Saccharomyces cerevisiae S288C: one gene and its partners. The protein of the gene in region 1 interacts with the protein of each later gene in a pairwise test. Each region holds a gene or a part of one and is shown in the gene's direction. Other genes may lie near its edges.

The links. Proteins that work in one complex are often made in the same cells at the same time.
Region 2: the proteins of FTR1 (region 1) and YLR326W interact in a protein complementation assay, tested with the Saccharomyces cerevisiae proteins (2 studies listed by BioGRID).
Region 3: the proteins of FTR1 (region 1) and TPO3 interact in a protein complementation assay, tested with the Saccharomyces cerevisiae proteins (one large-scale study listed by BioGRID).

The regions. Positions count from the first base shown.
Region 1 is NC_001137.3:458,490-463,465, reverse strand, and holds FTR1 (high-affinity iron permease FTR1), read left to right. Parts: upstream 1-1,725; coding exon 1,726-2,940; downstream 2,941-4,976. Other genes in the region: cohesin-loading factor complex subunit SCC4, read left to right, coding at 1-498; RNA-binding protein LSM5, read right to left, coding at 600-881; YER145C-A (uncharacterized protein), read left to right, coding at 643-1,080; putative ubiquitin-specific protease UBP5, read left to right, coding at 3,243-4,976. UniProt on the Saccharomyces cerevisiae protein: Permease for high affinity iron uptake.
Region 2 is NC_001144.5:780,244-784,273, forward strand, and holds YLR326W (uncharacterized protein), read left to right. Parts: upstream 1-1,930; coding exon 1,931-2,653; downstream 2,654-4,030. Other genes in the region: PEX30 (peroxisome biogenesis protein), read left to right, coding at 1-543; 60S ribosomal protein eL38 RPL38, read right to left, coding at 900-1,136; TMA10 (Tma10p), read right to left, coding at 2,884-3,144.
Region 3 is NC_001148.4:836,532-841,735, reverse strand, and holds TPO3 (spermine transporter), read left to right. Parts: upstream 1-1,958; coding exon 1,959-3,827; downstream 3,828-5,204. Other genes in the region: TDA6 (Tda6p), read right to left, coding at 1-470; NCA2 (Nca2p), read left to right, coding at 4,323-5,204. UniProt on the Saccharomyces cerevisiae protein: Cell membrane polyamine/proton antiporter, involved in the detoxification of excess polyamines in the cytoplasm. Recognizes spermine, but not spermidine.

The DNA.
Region 1 (4,976 bases):
TGCAACAAGGTGTGGCTTCAGGTGGAGAAATTGCTACAAGAAACGGATCTGCAGTTCAACCCCATATGGGAGTGCACAGTAACGATCCTATGGCTTTTCAGCCATTTCGAGCCGTTCAGTTGGAACCCGCTGCCATGTAGTGACAAGCAGCGCGCCGAGTACGTGTCGAAGCTCCGCGAGTTCTACTCTAGCAACAAGTTCGTTGCCGGAGAAGCCGTTGCGGACAACCGCTTCAAATTGAAGAAGGCTCTGTTGCTGCAAATACTGGTAAACTACTTAGGCGGTCGAATGCTCGAACACGATCTGGGCGAGATCTATGCGATTTCAGCAAAGTGTTTCGATATGTGCCGCCAGCAGGGCGGCATGCGCAAGGTCCAATACGTGATCGGAATATGGCATTTAATGAATTGTACGGTGGCGATGCGGGGAAAAGACGTCGCTCTCACGAACGCGAAGCTGGAGGCGCTGGTTAAGCAAATCACCAGTGTCAAACAATAAACCAAAAAAAAAAAAAGAAACACTTGATTTCCTTTATCTATTTTTATACTTAATTATTTTTTTTAGATGCACTATACAAATTCGCGTTAATTTTTGCCTTTTTACAACGCCTCCGTAGGGGTCTTTTTGCCGCCTGGCACAAGGATGGCAATATTGTTGCCGCTTAAAAGCATTCTGCCATGGTGCTGCATAACTTTCTCATTTCTGCTCTCGTCCTCAGGATCGATAAGCCACTCGACAGCGTCTTCCAGTATAACGTTGACGAAGTCGTCGAAACCAACTAACGTGCCCTCGAACTCGCGGTTCGACTGCAGCACAATCAACACTTTCTGGTTAATTGTTTTATCTATGACTTCCAAAGGCAAAATCTCCGGTAGACTCATTTTGCGCGCTTCTGTGTATGCTTGTGAGTGCACGTGTATACGCTATGCTTGTTGTGAGACCATCTATCCGCCAAGGAAGCCTTTTTCGCTTTCTCTGTATTTTTTCTACTTCAATAAGAAAGCAAGTATTCTGTTTTGCTACCCGGATGCAAAGACAAAACCCGAGCATCCGGGTAATAAAAGAGCAGGGTCCGGCTGAAGGTGCCAAAAAAGACCAAAAAGGGCTATATTATCTCTCTCTTACGATTGCCTCTGGTTAAAAAATGAAATAGATAATAAAAGGGCAGCAAAGAAAAAAAAGAAGAATACAATATACGTATACGTTCTCAACAATTTTTCGTCCTGTTTTTTTCTTGACCACGGTCACTACTAACTCCTGAGACATCAGACCAACGTGTAGAAAAAAAGAAATCGGGTCCGGCACTGACACACGCTCTGCGCCAATCAACCAGGGCGCATCGAGCATTCTTTCCAGGCCAGGGTGCAGAAATACTATTATTAAGTGCGCGAATACTGCTGGTGCATTAAACGAGCGAGTACAGTGAGCCCGCCGCTGACTGCCGACTCACGCCAGGCCGCTATTTCCTTCCCCCGCCCGCGTAAGCCGTGCCGAGCACCGTCGCAGCAGTAAGAAGGTGCGCATTTCATTCTCTGCACAGCGTAGATGAATGCACCCGATTTCTAAGTTGGTGTTGCAAGGCCCGGTGGAAGCGATGGGCTGTAGTTCGACCTTGAGCTTTTAGTTATATAAAATGCTCAATGTGAGCAAAAAAATACATAACACGACGGATTGTACGTTGTCGAAATCTTCTCTCAGCAGGTCATCACACATATACTTCCCGCCATGCCTAACAAAGTGTTTAACGTGGCCGTTTTCTTCGTTGTGTTCAGAGAGTGCTTGGAAGCAGTGATTGTTATTTCCGTGCTGCTATCGTTTTTGAAACAGGCAATCGGGGAACATGACCGGGCGCTGTACCGTAAATTAAGGATTCAGGTTTGGGTCGGTGTGTTACTCGGGTTCATCATTTGTCTGGCCATCGGTGCAGGTTTCATCGGTGCGTACTATTCGCTGCAGAAGGATATTTTCGGAAGCGCGGAAGACTTGTGGGAAGGTATCTTTTGTATGATTGCGACGATAATGATCTCGATGATGGGTATTCCTATGTTGAGAATGAATAAGATGCAGAGTAAGTGGAGAGTGAAGATTGCGCGGTCGTTGGTGGAGATTCCTCACCGTAAGAGAGACTATTTCAAGATTGGGTTCTTGAGTAGAAGATATGCTATGTTCCTTTTGCCGTTTATTACTGTCTTGAGAGAAGGTTTGGAAGCTGTTGTGTTCGTTGCCGGTGCAGGTATTACCACACAGGGCTCGCACGCCTCTGCTTACCCATTGCCCGTTGTGGTTGGTTTGATATGTGGTGGTCTTGTTGGGTATTTGTTGTACTATGGTGCTTCGAAATCCTCGCTGCAGATTTTCTTGATTTTGTCTACTTCGATCTTGTACCTGATCTCCGCCGGTCTTTTCTCTCGTGGTGCGTGGTACTTTGAAAATTACAGATTCAACCTTGCCAGTGGTGGTGATGCTTCCGAAGGCGGTGATGGTAATGGGTCTTATAACATCAGAAAGGCCGTTTACCATGTCAATTGTTGCAACCCAGAACTGGACAATGGGTGGGATATCTTCAATGCTTTGCTTGGATGGCAGAACACCGGCTACTTGTCATCCATGCTTTGTTACAACATCTATTGGTTGGTTCTTATCATTGTGTTGAGTTTAATGATATTCGAAGAAAGGCGTGGTCACTTGCCTTTCACCAAAAACTTACAATTGAAACACTTGAACCCAGGATACTGGATCAAGAACAAGAAAAAGCAGGAGTTGACGGAAGAGCAAAAGAGACAACTGTTTGCCAAGATGGAGAACATCAACTTCAATGAAGATGGTGAGATCAATGTGCAAGAGAACTACGAACTTCCCGAGCAAACTACCAGTCATTCCTCGTCTCAAAACGTCGCCACAGACAAGGAAGTCCTCCACGTTAAAGCCGACTCTCTTTGAATGAAGTCTAGCACAGGGTGGGAGTTTTCCACCTATTTTCTGTTGATAAAAATACTACATTTATATACATATATACAATAATTTCTAATATCGTTTTTATAAAGTTGGCCTTGTCTGTACGGCGTCGCAAAACAAGAACCCCTGGTCCAATTGATCTACCGGGCATTGATTTTTTTTCTTTTTTCCTTGCGCCTCACTTCAACACATCAAGTAAACACCAGCTATATTTAGTTGCTAGGTATTCTCCAACGTATGTGGAGTCCTTTCTTTATTATCTCTCTACACAAATAGGCACAAGCGTAATGGGCTCAGAACAAGCCTTAAGTGAGGTTGTCGAATCTGCTAAAGAGCGGTTCGGCAGGCTTAGGCATTTAGTTCAGAAGTTTCTTGATGATGACGACGTGCCACAAGAGTGTCTGCCTTTGCTCCAAGAATGCGCAGAAATATGGTCTAGTTATGTGGACGCATGCCAGGATATAACCATGCAGGCCCCTAAAGAAGATGCAAACCGGTTGTCAAAGGGGTTTCTCCGATTGAATGAAACAGCTTTTTTATATTACATGATCGTATATACGCTCTTGGAGGATACTCTACCAAGACTAAAGGAATTTTCGAGCAACAAGGACCAGAATGTTAGAAATTTGTACGGGGAGAGAATCCAGCTTTTGCATAATGACCCAAATATTGAGCGGATTCGAAATGTCATTGAAAATTACCCTAAATTTATACAGTTGCAAACTATAGAGCCTGGAAAATTAAGTTCAATGTTGCATTTTCATGGTGACGCTCTCTTGCTTATCGATGTACGGCCCAGGTCTGAATTCGTTAGGGCCCATATCAAATGCAAAAACATTATATGCATCGATCCTGCCTCATTTAAGGATTCTTTTACAGACCAACAAATTGAAAGTGTCTCTTTGATCACTTCGCCGCACTCAGATATCACTTTCTTTTCAAATCGAGACAAGTTCAAGTTCATTATTTTATATACTGACACTCAATTGCATAATAATTTCCAGCAAAGGCAAACTCGCATCCTTGCGAAGATTCTTTCCCAAAATTCAGTAATTAAACCGCTGAGTGGGACGAAAATACTCATTTTGGAAAATGGGTTCTCAAACTGGGTTAAATTAGGTGGGGCGTATCAATCATCTGTCAGTGAAACAGCGCATCTTACATCCTCGTCTTCAACGCCAGCTTTTGGTAGTCCGCAAGTCCCAACAGGCTTGTTCAATCAGAAATCTCTATCTCCAAATAAAGATAAGAGTATGCCGATGGTATCCATGAATACGCAGCCTTTGCTAACAACGGTGCAAAGGCCTCAATTACCCTTATACTATTCAGATTTGCCCATTATACCGCAACCAAGCCCCAACAGAAATTCTCCCACCGTTCAAAAATTTAGTCCACATCCACCAACCACTCTCTCAAAACTCAATACACCCTCGACCATTCAAAATAAAGCAAACACTGTGGAAAGAATATCGCCAGATATCCGCGCTGCACAAGCCCATGCCTATTTGCCCCCTGCATCGAATGTATTCTCGCCACGTATTCCGCCTTTACCACAACAGAACTTGTCTTCGTCGAGGCAGACCATCCTAAACAACTCACAAGTGCTTGATCTAGATCTTATAGTAGGATTGGAAAATATAGGTAACTGTTGTTATATGAACTGTATACTTCAATGTTTGGTGGGAACACACGATTTGGTTCGAATGTTTTTGGATAACACATATCTGAATTTTATTAATTTTGATAGTTCAAGAGGTTCTAAGGGGTTGCTAGCTAAAAATTTCGCCATCTTGGTCAATAATATGCACAGACACGGTGCATTCACACCTCCTAACGTAAGAACGATACCAGTTCAGACTATTCAGTTTAAAAAAATTTGCGGCCATATCAACCCCATGTATAGTGATTCAATGCAGCAAGATTGTCAAGAATTTTGTCAATTTTTGCTTGATGGCTTGCACGAGGATTTGAACCAAAACGGCAGCAAAAAGCATCTTAAACAGTTATCAGATGAGGAAGAA
Region 2 (4,030 bases), on another chromosome or scaffold:
GACAAGACATGGAGGCTAGACATGACTAATGACGGTGCCATTCAAGTGCCCAATTCAAAGGCAAGAACTTCCGCAGATCCCTCCCCTGACGAGGGATTTATATATTACGACAATACCTGGAAAAAACCAAGTAAAGAAGATTCCTTTTCTAAATATACAAGAAGAAGAAGATGGGTAAGAACCGCAGAATTGGTCAAAACTTCTGACTTTGATGAAAGCGTGATAAATTCGAATAGAAATTCTGCCATTGAACAAAAGGTTGAAGAAAACAGCACGAATGGTTTAACCGCTGAGCAAGAGCTTGGGAGCAACAAGCAAGAGAAAGATAATGCGAAAAAAGTAGGAGAGCCTACAACAGAAGAGACAAAAGAATTTGCCGAAGCATCAAACATCAACGAAGGCGAGTTTGAAAGAATTTCCTCGACCGATGAAGAAGTTTTAAAATCTAGGGCAAGAGATCGACTGGCAAAAGTATTAGATGATACTGAAGAGAAAGAGCAATCAAATCCAACCATTGGTCGCGATAGCAAGAAGGCCGTATGATGCTCGCTCCCGTTTTTACCTTTACATAATATAATCTCTAATTTACTTTATTACACAAATGGTAACTCCCTTTAAATAAACTTAAAAAAGAACGTATAGAACTCTCTTCTTCAATGAATAGTAATCCAATTTTTTTTATTAACTATACAACGTTATGACTTTAAAAATTAAAAAATATGTTTATGAGTAGTAAGAAAAACAAAAGGAAACAAAAACAAAAAAAGTTATAAAGCCTATTTCTACTTCCTGTATAACGAACACAAATGGATATTATTCTTTATGCGGATGGGAAAGTATTCTTAGTTTTTTTTGTTCCAGTCTCGTTATGATAACACTCCGATCATTCCTTATTTTTCTTATAATCTGTTAACCTTCAAAGTTGGTGGCAAAGATTGGATCAATTTCTTAGCCTTACCAGCATCGTTGATAACCAAAGTGTACAAAGAAGAAGAGCCTCTAACCTTGAACTTGGTTTGTCTGAATGGCTTACCGGCCTTGTTCAATTTTTTGTTAATCTTAACAGTGGCGGTCTTAACGTCAGCTCTTCTGGTCAATTCCAAAAATTGTTTGATGTCGGTGATTTCTCTAGCCATTTTTCCTTGATATTTTGTCGTACTATATTCAACCTGAAATAAAAAACTAACAGTTGAAATATTTCTACATTGAAATTAGAAAATTTAATTCTTTAGATTGAAGATTCAATATTGTGCAAAAGCGTACAGCAGCAATCACGACTCTACATGCCATAGAGCTTGGAAAACTCTCCATAATTTTCCACTCGAACGTATGATGCTCCGTCTATTTTTTTCAACAGTTGCACGGACGAGTCCTCCTTTTCGCAAGGCATTTTAATTGTGTGGGTTTATGAAAATGCACGGATGCATTTTCTCTAGATGAAAATTCCGTCTTGGAATAATATCGGAATGAGCTAAAAGAACACCAGTACGCGAATATGTGAGATGCCCTGTTTTGTCACATAACAGCGGCAGTTAATTTGGCGTCTTTTCTGGGAAGCGAGTTTATTTGGCAAGGCTATGATGTTTTATAATACTAATCACGCATTGCAACTTCACAAAGTAGTTGTGACATGTGGATGTAATAGCGTTACTTTTCTTTTTGTTTATTGCTATTTGTTTCTATTTTCTTTTTTTAAATCGCGCTAATACGTGGAAAAATGCGTAGAAGCCGGGAATGGGACGTGATTATGAGATCATAACATGACTGCGAGCTAGAGAGCATTGGAAGAATTTGCTTTTTTGTTCAGTTCCCTACTCATATATTTGTTTCATAGAAGTCGTAGTATACGTGAGACAAGAGCACTTGAAAATAAATCTTGGATCTGCTGGGAGCAATATCATCAAGTAAAATAAGGGGGAAACCATATCAAATGTCAGGGTTCATTAAGAGCACGTTGCTTGGTCTAGGCCAAGATTACTTAGAAGATCAATATCAAGAGTTCGCAGAACAGCATTTCCAGCCAACCAGGGATCCGTTTTATGAAACGAATAAAGATGGTAAAAAGCACCGCCGCAGACTGCCATATTATTGCACTAAGGATGAAAGTAAAGCGTGGAAAAAGGTCCAAAACAAAGCCTGGCTGCATGACAAATCACTGTGCGGATGCTGTTGCTGGACAAACACTATAGGATGGGCACCATTACTTGCACTTCTACCGGTTATAGGACCCTTATTGATGTATTGGGTGCATGATAAGTTGATTGAATTGGCAGATGACAGGTATAAATTGCCTGCGGAAATCAAGGTGAAGATGCATGGTAATATCGTTATCGATTTACTTATTAGTTTAGTTCCTATTCTGGGAAGTGTTTTTGCATGGTTGCACGCATGTTCCACGAGAAACGCAGCTATAGTTTACAATTTTGTTGGAAAAAGGGCATTGGAAAGAAAGCAAGCGGAGCTCATGCATCAAAAAGAAGAAAATGAGAAACATTCCAATGCCAATACTGCACCTCCAGTAGTTGGTGGCAACAAAAATGTGAATGGAAACAGAAATAATAGTAAAATGTATAACAGACCGCCTGTGACAGCTCCACCTGCACCAGCATACACGCGCAGTACTAACGGTCGCCCCCAAAGAGGTTACAGGTGAACAAACCGGCCACGGTAAGGCTACATTCTTATCAACAAATATGGGCAATCAAAAACTTATAATGTAAATTTTATTTTTTATCGTAAACATGTATTTAAGAAGTAATATAAAGGATGTTTGACATGATCATTTTATATATGCATACACGTTATTGAAGTTATATGGTCGTTAAATCATTAAAAGGCCCGTTTCTTTGAAATATGCTAACGGAATCAAACCGGTCGGGTCGGTTAGATGTGGTATTGTTGCAAATCAGAAAGCCTTCTTTCATTGTTTTGGGAGTTAGAGCCCCTTCTGGTCTTGTTGAAGACTGTCTTAATTTCGCCAGAATCGATTAAGTCATTAATCTCATCGCCAGGCTTGCCCCAATTGCCTTTCCCATAGCCTCCTCTCTTGACGTGGTTGGGAGACTCCCCAAAGTTGCCGTTATGGGTGAAATACTTTGGGTTAGACTTTGCTTCGTGGACTGTCCATTTGCTAGTTCTGGTCATGTTTGAATTGTGTTTGTGTTAGAAATTTGTGTGCTTTAATGTTATGTTATAATGAAATCTTATTAGATTTATTTAACGTTTTTGCTGTGCTTATAATAAACATTACATAATAAAAGGAGTAGAAGAAAGTGGTAGAGAGGAGTACAAATCTACCTGCCAGAACTCTCTCCTTATATATATTTCCAGTGGTGTCTGGATTACCTACCTCAAGCCATACCATATCCATACCATATCCATAAACGCCTACAAAATTTCTACCCCAATCCAGCAGCTTCTATCACTATCTCGTATACCACCATAGGCACCACCACTGTTTGTGTAAATTTACTCCTGAGGGGGGGGTGGCTCAACACGGTGTAGGCCTTCTTCCCGCACAATCCGATGAAACCCCACAATCGCCTCCGTCTCTTCCACTGTGCACGGCGCTAGCTCAACATCTTCCCCGCCACATTTACTGTGGCAAAGAAGGTGCATAATCTAAAAAAACATACGTATGAGAATGGAAAGGGCAAGATAATATCGGACCGTAGTGAGTCACTTGCTTTTGGTATTGCAACCAACTGCCGCCCCTCTTCCCGCTCTTGCACCAAAACGCTAAATGCCCATTGTGATGGCTCATCCACCCTCACGACGAAGTAAGACCCGGGGCACAAGAAAATACGAGATCATAACAGTTCGAGTCCGTTTATTGTGTGCGGTTTTGGTACGCTTTTTCGTGAGGTGTACTACCATTCATGAGAGTCGTTTTAGGAGCTGTCATGAAAGATATGTATCTTGTTGATGAACTGTAAAAATTTGCAGAAATTGCGCTATTCCGTTTATTTCATTGTCGATTCGGTGTTAATATTAGGGGTACAAAATATACTAGAAGTTCTCCCTCGAGGAT
Region 3 (5,204 bases), on another chromosome or scaffold:
AAACTGGTTAAAAATACCTCGCTACTGGGGATATGCGTTTCCGTTTTGTTGCCAAATAAATCTACGTGGTATTCCGCCTTCAAGTCATGCAGTGTCAAATTTTCATGAGTGGATATAGAATTGCCGTTTTTATCTTTAATTTGGAAGTTTTGAACGTACTCAGCAATGTCCGATGGCCAATATTTCTCTTCGCTATACAAGTGCACTAAGGGACAATGATTGATGACATAAGATGGAATCTCTCCAGGCGTATGCAGACTTCTCTGATCATCTGTCACATCTGTGGAATTTAGTATGGGCGGCAATTGGCCGTCGACTTTGAATCTGTTCCGTTGACCCATGGCCATGTCTCTTTTCATCAAAGGCTCTAACGGATCATAATCTTTCAATGGTGGAAGGACAAGCGCCCGTATGACGCTTAGATCTACTATTAAGAACCATAACAATATTCGCGCTAGTACGCAATGCATTCGCTAACTGAATTGAAGTTTGCTTTACCTATTGAGTACTTTATCAAAGCTGCCTTCTTTGTCATTGACGGTAGCTTCAAAAGAAAAGGAAAGTTCAATTGTTAGTTCTATTATAAAGAAGAGAAATTTCAATTTTACATATTCGGAACTTTCTCTTTTTTCATTCGGCTAGTACAACTACGTAGAGAGTATATCTCGCATCCGTCGTATGAGTAACGAGTTATGCTTTCCTTCAAAAGAAGGGTTCTTCCTTTTTCACTTTTTTCTTCTTCCTATTTACACGTAGGACAGCGAATACGGAGTCATGAAACCTTAATAATGCGCTGTTTTTTATTTTTTCTAAGTTTCAATTTGATTTTGTCGTTTCCGTCATAGCCATATAACTAAATTGAGATATAAACTATTTTTATTTTTCCGAGAACGGCCACTGCTTTGGGGCATGCATTATACGATTTCTCGAGAATCCGGTGAAAGCGTATACCCAAAAGAGCAACATAATTGACTGACCCACAATTTGGTTAGAGACATGCTATGCTGATCCTGCATATCTCAAACAGGCAATATGATAACATACATAAGCAATCTCGGCTACGCGGATTTTGTGTGGGTCTGAAAAAAAAAAAAAAAAAAAAAAAAAATAGCGCGGAGCCGGGTGAGAACGTTGGACGGGTAACATAAAAACAGAGCTCTTTATATAATCAAGCATTCCCTCCATACAAAATGTGTCTGCAGCCACGTGCAAAGTACGGTCGTCGTGTGCTAAAGACCAGTAAGTACAGTCTAGCGGGCCTCTGACTAGCTTCTCTGTGCTTGGCGAGGGGTTTACTGGAGCCCAATCGGACTAGCCGGGCTTCGTCACTGCGGCAATGTCTTCGCCCAACGGATCGGAACAGCTCACTGATTTCACCCAAACGGGAAAAAGGAAAAACAAAAACAAAACAGAACGGCGTAGTTTCCGGCAGCCATGATGATCCCTGATCCATAGAGCCATTTTTTTCATTTATTTCCTAATGCATTTTGTTCATATTCTGGATCTGCGTTAAACGCTGTAAAACTGGCTCGTTTCTTTTATATATCTTGCAATCATTCGCTGCTCAACCATCCTAGTCTCTTTTTACACGTACCCTTTTTCCACTTTTTCTTTTAGTTTATATATTCTTTTCGCCTAAGAACATTTGTCTTTGTAATCTACTTAACTTAGCAATTGTCAGCTGTCCTGTTACAACCTGTTCTCCAAAGTGAATACAATAAGCAGTATTTGCTCTTTTTCGTCTAGGTGCGTTGATCTAATCTTCTTTTTATTTTTCTTCTTCGTTCAGCCTTTTTTGTCCTCACCGGTAGCGTTCACCCTAATTCTTTAATTGTCATACCCATAATTATACTACAAATTTCGTGGTCTAGTTTTCTAATATAACTAATTACTTTCTCCCTTCTTACTTCATTATTTTAATTTTGCATTAGTACTCCTCTAGCCAAAGATAAACAGAAATGAACAGACAGGAATCCATAAATTCGTTTAATTCAGACGAAACATCTTCGTTGTCTGATGTAGAAAGTCAGCAGCCGCAACAATATATCCCTTCAGAGAGTGGATCTAAATCCAACATGGCTCCTAATCAACTGAAGTTGACCCGGACGGAAACCGTGAAGTCATTGCAGGACATGGGTGTGAGCTCCAAAGCCCCCGTTCCTGATGTTAATGCTCCTCAATCTAGCAAGAATAAGATTTTTCCTGAAGAATATACTTTAGAAACCCCTACAGGTTTAGTTCCTGTCGCCACTCTACATTCCATAGGTAGAACTTCTACTGCGATTTCCCGTACGAGAACTAGACAGATCGATGGCGCTTCTTCGCCTTCTTCTAATGAAGATGCTTTAGAAAGTGATAATAACGAAAAGGGTAAAGAAGGCGACTCTAGTGGTGCGAATGACGAAGCTCCAGATCTAGATCCGGAAATTGAATTCGTTACCTTTGTGACTGGCGATCCAGAAAACCCCCATAACTGGCCTGCATGGATCCGTTGGAGTTACACTGTCCTACTGTCAATCTTAGTTATTTGTGTCGCCTACGGGTCTGCTTGTATCAGTGGTGGGTTGGGAACCGTTGAAAAGAAATACCATGTAGGTATGGAAGCCGCTATTTTATCGGTTTCTTTAATGGTTATTGGGTTCTCGCTGGGTCCTTTGATTTGGTCTCCTGTTAGTGATCTTTACGGTAGAAGAGTTGCTTACTTTGTTTCTATGGGTCTTTATGTCATCTTCAATATCCCTTGCGCCTTAGCTCCAAATCTAGGTAGTCTTTTAGCTTGTAGATTTTTATGTGGTGTTTGGTCATCATCTGGTTTGTGTTTAGTTGGTGGGTCTATTGCCGATATGTTCCCAAGTGAAACAAGAGGTAAGGCTATTGCTTTCTTCGCTTTTGCTCCTTACGTTGGTCCCGTTGTTGGTCCACTAGTTAACGGTTTTATTTCCGTTTCTACCGGACGTATGGACCTGATTTTCTGGGTCAATATGGCCTTTGCAGGTGTTATGTGGATCATATCTTCTGCCATCCCAGAAACGTACGCTCCAGTTATCTTGAAGAGAAAGGCTGCTAGATTAAGAAAGGAAACTGGTAATCCCAAGATTATGACTGAGCAGGAAGCGCAAGGTGTCAGTATGGGTGAAATGATGAGGGCTTGTCTGTTGAGACCTTTGTACTTCTCTGTCACTGAACCTGTTCTAGTTGCTACTTGTTTCTACGTGTGTTTGATTTACTCTCTACTATATGCGTTCTTCTTTGCCTTCCCTGTCATTTTCGGTGAACTATATGGCTACAAAGACAACCTTGTGGGTTTGATGTTTATTCCTATTGTTATCGGTGCTCTTTGGGCGTTAGCCACAACTTTCTACTGTGAAAACAAGTATTTACAAATTGTCAAACAGCGTAAACCTACTCCTGAAGATCGTTTGCTAGGTGCTAAGATCGGTGCTCCATTTGCTGCAATTGCTTTATGGATCCTGGGTGCTACCGCTTATAAACATATTATTTGGGTTGGTCCAGCTTCAGCTGGTTTAGCTTTTGGTTTCGGTATGGTGTTGATTTATTATTCATTGAATAATTACATTATTGATTGCTACGTCCAATACGCATCCAGTGCTCTGGCTACAAAGGTTTTCTTAAGATCCGCCGGTGGTGCTGCCTTCCCCTTGTTTACCATTCAAATGTACCACAAATTGAATCTGCACTGGGGTTCTTGGTTGTTGGCTTTCATCTCCACTGCTATGATTGCTTTACCTTTTGCATTTTCTTACTGGGGCAAAGGTTTGAGACATAAGTTATCCAAGAAGGATTATTCCATAGATAGTATTGAATAAGAGTAACGATTTTACGAATCGAGCATAATAATGAAAAATTATAGTAGTAGTAATGATAAAAACATAAGCAAACATAAGCAAACATAAGCAAACATATCAAACATGCATTCAAACCATTATCCGACAGTAATGTACATATATTTTTACGTATTTTACATTCTTTCTCTATTGTTCTTTTATCTATTGCTATCCTAAACAAATATATTGATTGACCTTCAAACCGTGAGTAACTTTATTAATTTATATGTATAGAAAAAAAAAAAAATTGAATTAGAAATTTGAACTTCTCAAGTTCATTCTTCTTGTACCTATGCGATGACTTTATTTTCGGTTTTTACATTCCTCCTCATTTGACCGAGGAATACGAATTTGATTGACCCCCACTCACTAAACAAAGGGTCGGAATTCTTTTCCACTTTAAAACTTAGTAATAACAACAAAGTCAACAAAATAGTCCTATTGCAAAATTGCAGGTTCCTTAATTAATATTCTTAAATGATCATCAATAGGCGTATTTTGAAATCTTTTGAAGAGATAAGTCATTCATTAGAGGAATCACTACGAGAGGTTGCATTTGATTCACAGCAACAATTGATTCAAGACGTACGTGAGGAAAATGAAGAACTAAGTAGGTTACAAGATCAATTACAATTGATCAGGTCAATTGTTGAAAAAATCTGCATTTCAATCAAAACTGACAATATTGACTCTTATTGTTCGGTGCCTTTTGATTTGCTATACAATATTTGCAAGGACATTGCTGATCCCTCATCCTTTGAAGACGGAGATTTGCAATATCTTGTTAGCCAAGCCATATTTGAGTACATTATATTATTGTGCTACTATTCTGTGACCAACGAATGCGTCCAAGGTTTACCTGCCGTGTATGAAGCTGAACAGTACTACAAAACAGTAAGTGATTCAATCCTAAAGTCTTTTCTTTACTGTTTACAAAATTCAGTATCGACAATACGTCTTTTATCTCAAACTGTTTTGAAGGATGTAAATAAGAAAAAACTGTCGCATCAAAAATGGTCCCTAAAGGCCTTGTCAGTTGATTTACTAGAAAAAATACGCCCAAGAATAAACAAATTTATGGTGATTCGGAACTTCAGGTTTGTCGGGCTACCGAAGAAACCAATTGAAATAGCTTCATTGGTTTCTGATATACCTCGCGGTATAGTGCACGAAAGACTTGATATGGTCACTCAATCATCAAAGTATTATACTATTAAACTGGGGCAGTTGATCACTGAATTCGATCAACAACCAGAAGAAAATGGTATGTTCACCGAAGTACATTTACCGAACTACGAAAGACGTCTAAAATCTTTACAGGACTTCTTTGGATTAGCCATGTCTGATTCGAATTTACTA